Linked DNA regions of Macaca mulatta. The protein of the gene in region 2 purifies or fractionates together with the protein of the main gene of each other region. This does not show direct contact. Links are inferred from orthologs where the notes say so. Each region holds a gene or a part of one and is shown on either strand. Other genes may lie near its edges.

What was found.
Region 1: the proteins of VCAM1 (region 2) and MSN purify together in Homo sapiens (affinity purification with western blotting; 3 studies listed by BioGRID, with this or other methods). This does not show direct contact. The link is inferred for Macaca mulatta from reciprocal best matches to the Homo sapiens genes VCAM1 and MSN.

Annotation. Positions count from the first base shown.
Region 1 is NC_133426.1:71,831,642-71,835,209, reverse strand, and holds part of MSN (moesin), read right to left. Parts: intron 3,273-3,568; coding exon 2,998-3,272; intron 1,604-2,997; coding exon 1,520-1,603; intron 817-1,519; coding exon 670-816; intron 1-669. UniProt on the Homo sapiens protein: Ezrin-radixin-moesin (ERM) family protein that connects the actin cytoskeleton to the plasma membrane and thereby regulates the structure and function of specific domains of the cell cortex.
Region 2 is NC_133406.1:139,537,770-139,541,337, forward strand, and holds part of VCAM1 (vascular cell adhesion protein 1), read right to left. Parts: intron 2,026-3,568; coding exon 1,705-2,025; intron 811-1,704; coding exon 544-810; intron 1-543. UniProt on the Homo sapiens protein: Cell adhesion glycoprotein predominantly expressed on the surface of endothelial cells that plays an important role in immune surveillance and inflammation.

The DNA.
Region 1 (3,568 bases), on a different chromosome or scaffold from region 2:
CAGCAGTTATATGGAACAATAATCTATTGATCTCCATTCTCACCAAGAGCACACCAAGTGAAAAATATAAGCAAGTGAGATAAGGCTACAGTGAGAGGATTATAGGCCAAAAGCCATTTAATTATCACAGGAGACTAATCAAAATATATCCCGATAAGACAGTCTAGGCCTGCACAAATCAATAAAAACATAATGACTGTCACATATATAATTTTAAGTTTTCTAGTAGCTACATGAAAATAAGTAAAAAGAAATGGATGTAATAAAATTTTAATAAGTTTAATTAGCCCAATATATCTAAAATATTATCATTTGAACATGTAAATAAATATTTTTAAAAATATTAAGACATTTTTGCATTCTGTTTTTCACACTAATCTTCAAAGTCCAGTGTGTAGTTTACACTTACAGCACATCTCAATTCAAAGTAGCCACATTTCAAGTGTTCAATAGCCCCATGTGGCTGGTGGCTACCACAGTTGACAGTGTGAGTCTAGTCAATACAGAATTTAGAGGCCTAAGGAAAGTTGTGAAATCATCTGGGCTGGACTAAATTAGGCAGAAAAAGAACTGAGGTGGGACCCAAGAGCTATGGCCTTGCTCCTTGGTGAAAAGTGAGCCCTAGATGTTAACATAACCTAAATAAACTAAAAGAGATCTGAGATATACCTGTCATTCTGCTCATAGATGTTGAGACCCAGTGCATCCACCCCCAGCCACAGCTCTGAGCCTTTCTTGTTCTTGATGCTGAAGTAGTTCACACCATACATCTCCAGATCTTGAGCAATCTTCAGATATTCCAGGACAGCATCCTCCCTAAATGACACAGTTGGGGGTCACAAAGTGGGGCTTGTGAGTCAGACCCAAGGAGAGAGAAAGCCTGCTTACTCTGTACTTCTGACAAGTATCTTGCTATCAGGAGTGGGAAAGGGCACAAAAGGCAACCAGATGATGGAGAACAGAGCATAGCATGACTTTTGCAAAGCAAAATCTCCTAACAAAAACCTAGGGTCTATGCTCCCAAAGGGAATAAAGATGGGTTGACCCTTGCTGGCCTCTGGCATGTTGGCTGCCACAGAAGCAATTTTCTTTCTCTCATTCATTGTGACAGCCTCTTACACATTCTTAGCAGGGCTCAGAATGTGGTTATGGCAAAATGATGATATTTGTCCTTCAACTAGACAACCCTCAAAAATGCTTTGCCATGTTTAAGAGCTCCTTCCTTATTTCCTTCTGGCAGGGGGCGGGGAGTCCTTGGTGGCCCAGTAGCTCCCTGGACATCCTGAGGTCCCCTCCATTTCTTGATAGTCAAAACTGTTTGTGCTATCAGTTACCACCATTCAGCAAAACAAACAAACAAAAAACAACCTTATAATGGTCCTAGTTTGCCTTCTATCATCCCTGTTCCCTCTTCTCCAACATCTACCAATGTCCCTTGTCATCTGTCTCTTCTCCCCAGAACGCATTCTCATTCACCCTATAAGGGAAGTGGGGCCCACCACTGCTTGGGCAAGCTTACCTGAGCATGCCACGGTGTTCCTCATGCCACACCTGGATCCGCTCCTCCCACTGGTCCTTGTTGAGTTTGTGCTGTTCCAGGACTCTGGAAAGACAATGGGTGATGAGTAGTTTAAAGCGCAAAAGTCCCTGTGCAGGAGAGAAGGGAAGCCCATTTAGCTTTCTAAGGGGCTGATGCAAAGAGGATGTAGAGTCAGCCAACTGAGGTCACGCTGGAAGCAGACTGAAATTATAGCTAAAAAGGTATTAAATTAGACACAAGGAATTGCCTGAAAGGTAAGAGAGCTACAAGAATGGATGATCAAAAACAACAAGGGGAACACCTTCCTTTGTACCTTTATCCACAAATCAAATGATGTGCTGTGGTCCCTAAGCATAGCAATAAAGCATCAGGAGTTTGTGCTGACTTGAGGGGCTAAAAGTAGGGATGGACCTCATAGAGCCAGGTATACTCTCTCCTAGATCCTCTTGGGACCAACAGTCTATGTTTATAAGAATACTGCTCAGAAATGAAAGAATGGCCTTTGGCTACAGAGCAATGAACTGAGTCCTAATGGCTTTGAGAAAAACCAACAGGCCCAACCTCCAAGACCTACTAGATTATAAACAAGGTTAGCTTTAAACATGCCATCTCAGATATCATGGCAATGACTCAGGGAGAGTCCCCAGGGTACAAGCACTATCCCTAATATCTTATGAGTGTGTTGTACATATATGCCATAACTCCAGTGGGACTGAGGCTCCCAGAATGAAGCAAAGCTTTTCCTTCTAATCCAAAAGACTATGGAAACAGCCATTGTGTATAGTTGGAAAAAATTTAGTGTTAAAATATTAAGGTGCTAAGCTTCCAGGTCTGGCTCTGGCTCTGCCTCAGATGAGCTGCAGCAGATGGGGAAAGTCAGTGTGAGTACCTCTGCACCTCTATTTCCTCGGCCAGGAAATAAGGATAATGCCTGCTTTGTTCATTTTGTGTGTTATTGTGATGCAAAAACAAAAATAATGAGGGTTTTAGAGCTTTTGACTTTGAAGTTTACAAAAGGAGAAAGCTCTGTACACTAGCTGTCAATATTAAAAGACTATTTGAGTTCTCCATGTCCCTGGTTTGCTTATTTCTCTCTCTCCCCTGTGAACTTCTGATATAAGAGATCTAAATCAGTAAAAAGAACTGAGAAAATGGAACCAGGGAGAGGTGAAAGAAATTACTCAATCTCTGGTTCTACATAAGCACCTGCCTCCCAGGTAATAAAGTTCTGTAATCAGGCAGACAGAGGGGAAAAAAGGCTTTTTATTTGGAAAGCCAGAAAAATAACAACAGAGTATGACACTATATGCAAATGTCTCTTGAGCAGCATAACACAGTCTTCAGACAGATCCCAATGGAGAGGAACAGATCTGGCATCCCCTGTGGGGCAGGGATTGGTCAGCTGTGGGCTGCAGCCCCTTATGGCCAAGGCAAAGGAGGGCAGGGAATCACCTCACCTCTGTGGGAGCAACTTGTCTCCGGCCAGGTAGCCAGACTTATGCACCTCCTTATTGAAGTCGCCATACTTAGACTGGACAGCATACGAGGCCAGCAGCACAGCAGTCTCAGGCGGGCAGTAAATATCATCATTGAGAATACCCTCTTTCACTTGCAGAAAGAACAGGCGCTGAGTGATGTCCTGAATCAATTCCTCGGACACATCCTCAGGATAGAACTTGGCACGGAACTTAAAGAGCAGGGGGCTTTCCTTCCGCACGTCCTGGGCAGTCACCTGGGAGCAGTAAGGGTTATGGACTCTCAAAAAATAGGTTTTAAGGGTGACAGAGTGGCTGTGGGGTAGGGGAAACACACTGAAAGATCATCAATTTGCATAATCTTAGAGAGCTGGGTGGCAACCCCCTGGTAATTAAGAAAAACAATACATTACTTTCACTGGGGACTGAATCCCATGTCTGTAATCACTTTCTGTTGGGAATTTCTTCCTGAAATTACCTTAATACCGACTGATGATCAGAAGTCTTCAAACCACTTTTGTCTGACTATATCCAACTATCCCCAAATTCTGAG
Region 2 (3,568 bases):
GGAAGGGGCCTAGATCTGTTGACTTAATCTACTTTAGTGGTTCCATGTTGTCAGGCTGATGAACGAGAGGACAGAGTCATGGCTACTAATAATCTCAGAATTTGCAAAAGACTTAAGTGCCAGCTTAGGCTTCTAAGCAAATACTACTGGCCATCTTGTGAGATTGCCACTCAGAGTTCAATTCAGCCAGATATGGTGGCTTTAATCCTACATAATTCCAAATGAAGAGATTCCTCTTCCTATTCTTATCTCAACACCATAACCATTGCCTCATAAGTGTAACTGGAACTTCTGACACAGGTCCTGAAGGCTTGCATTTCACTTAAGTTTGAAAGAATCTCAGGATAAGAAACTTGTAACGATTCATGAGAAAGGACAATTTCAGGAAATTTCTCCATACATTGGAAACATCATAAGCTCTTCAAAACCCTCAACACACTTTTGTAGTAAAAATTTTGTTTTCAAAGAAGACTTTACTCATAATCAGTAACATAACCAAAAAAATTACTAGCAAGGATAACTCACTACTCACACTCTGCTCACCTTGGATAATTAATTCTACTTCTTTTCTGCTTCTTCCAGCCTGGTTAATTCCTTCACATACATAAACTCCAGAATCTTCCATTTTTGTAGAAATTAAGTTGAGAGTTGCATCCTCAGAAAGAGACTGTAGCTCCCCATTAGGTAGCTGCCTGCTCCATAGGATTTTCGGAGCAGGAAGGCCGTGGCTCAAGCATGTCATATTCACAGAACTGCCTTCCTCCAGGATGGAGGAAGGGCTGACCAAGATGGTTGTATCTCTGGGGGCAACTGAAAAGGCAGAGAGGCTTGTTAGCTGGACCCCTTATGCCCTGAGTTCCAAAGAGTTTTAATAATGTTGCAAAACTGGGCTATGGGTTCAGCAGATGCAAACAGTTTATAAACCTTGATAATTTAACCAAGAGGTTTTGGTCCTTATTTACTTTAGTTGATACCAAATGATAGAGCAGAACGTGGACACGTCATGGTGTTTTCTAATGGAAGTAAGTTCAGTATAACCTCCCTTGCAACCAAAGAATGACGAGGGTCAATGATAGTGTGTACTGCCATTTATGGTAGAGTCAACAAGACTATGAATTATTTGAATCTCCTTCTGTAAAAAGATGTGGTCTATTTTTCCACCCCTTGAAACTCTAGGCTGGCCTCATGACTCACTTTGACCAATAGAATGTGGAAGAAGTAACACTGTAGGACTTCCAAACCCAGGCCTTGAAGAGGCTGCTTTCATTTACACCTTCTTGAAAACTGAGCTCTGGTGAGTAAATCTAGGCTACTGTTTCTCAGGGTGACAACGCATAAAGAAAGAGAGGCCAGGTCATCCCAGATATGGCTCCAGACATGTGGGTGAAGTCATCTGAGACCAGCCAGTCCTGCTAACCTTACAGAAAATGCATGAGCGAGCTCAGCTAATACCATATCGAGCAGAATAACTGCCTAGCTGGCCCCTTCCTAAATTGCCAACTCAAAGCATCATAAGTCAGTAAATAGTTACTCTTTTAACTTTATGGAGGGTGATTTGTTACAATCATTATTATTTTGAAATTTCTTTTCAGTTATGTTTTTTCTCTACAGAGGTTTTAACTATTAACCTTATGTTAACTATTGCCTGGCAAACACGATAAAGAGACAGGTATTAAGCTGTAGATACCTCACATATGTACTTACCATTGACATAAAGTGTCTGTGTACTCTGCCTTTGTTTGGGTTCAAATTCCATTTCATCCATATGTAACTTAGCCTGACAAACAAGAGCTTTTCCAGTATCTTCAGTGGTAGGGATGAAGGTCGCTTCCAAACTTTTGTTCTCTAGAGATTTCATATCTGTATCCTCCAAAAACTCTTTATTCTCCAGAACAGTCTCCCCCTTAAGTAATTCAATCTCCAACCGGTCAAGGGGGTACACGCTAGAAACCTTGCAGCTTACAGTGATGGGGCTCTCACTCACAAGGACACCTCTCATCTCGATTTCTGGATCTCTAGGGAATGCTGCAAAACGCAAGCAAAAATGATTTTTATACGCGATATTCAAGGAAAAATTGAGCTAAGCTTTATTAAATGTAAAGGCCTAAAAATGACAGCTTTAATTGACCTGGGATAGAATGACTGTCAATATATAAGTAACGACAGTATTTATAAATGACATATTCATGATATTATATATGAATAATGTTAGAAACAAAAACTACTTAGTATATCCAGTCCTTGAGTAATAAATGTTCACTTCTTATTTTTTTTTCTTCTTAATATGCAATCTTGCTGTGTGCCATGGCTTGATCTTTTCTAAGTACACATCAGCTTCCACTATCTTATTTAGTAAGTATATATTTTACATGTTTTAAATTTGCCATGTTATGTTGAATACTTAGTATCAACTAGTCCTCTAATATTCATTATCTCAGTCTTCAAAGCAGCTATGTAAAATGGGTATTAGTTATTTTACAGCCAGGAATACTGAAACATATAGAGGCTAAGAGACTTTCCTCATGCATTATACCTAGTTGAAGTCAATGAGATGGGCTGAGAATCCGTATTTCTCTGACCTCAGAGCCCAGCTTTGGTTTTACACAGCTGTGCAGTCTCTCAGTATCAAATAAGACAAACAAGGAAGTTCTCAACTTAGTTTAAATTTTAATGACCAAATTTAGGCAGCAAGTTTTAAATATTTCTCAGATAATACTTGTAATCAAGAAAAGAACTGCTTAACTCTAGTCTTTCTAATACAGCACATATCAATAAAAATAAGACTAAAATAGCTATCAAGGGCAAGAATAATGCTTAAACATATTTTTCCTTAACAAAAATGTTGTTAAAGTGATACATGCTCAAATATTTCTATGTTGCAATAAGACTCCACTGCTGGTTCTCATTTCTGCTGGGAATGTGCCTATCTCAGCAGATCATGGACTCTGGGTAATATAATAATGCAAATAAAATGTATCCTCCTTTTGAGAGACTCAAATCCATTTACAGGCACACTGTGACCCATTCTGAACAAAATATTGAAGGGTAACACAAGTTTGGGCAGGCTTTCTGGTAGAAAATCTCTATAATATGTTCTCTTGAGTTCTACTGAAGTGAGAACTCAAGGCAGAGTGACCCTCTCAAAAAAATAACTTTATGGTTACTTTGCATATTTTGTTCTTCATTCAATATGGACTGAGGAACTCCAGCAATGTCAAGTTCATGGAGATTTGAGGTTGCAAAGAGTGTTTATTAAGACGACAAGAAGAGTAAGAGAAAGCATAGTATATGTAGGTGGCATAAATCAACATTAAGATCTAACGCTACTTCCTGATTCTGCTTTTCACCTTAGCCACTGCCACTGACCATCGCCATCTCCAGCCTAATTCCTTATCTTTAATTTTGGCTTCCTTTTGCTTCCTATTCCCTTATTTTTTTTCCCATCCTGCAGACAGCTCTTCAAATGTGCTTTAAAGCAGTGCCTTAAAATAGTTTAAAACTACTCATTCCCAACTGGAGTAGTTGGAGTAGTCACCTCCACCCAGTCATCTGAATGGGCACTGACCCC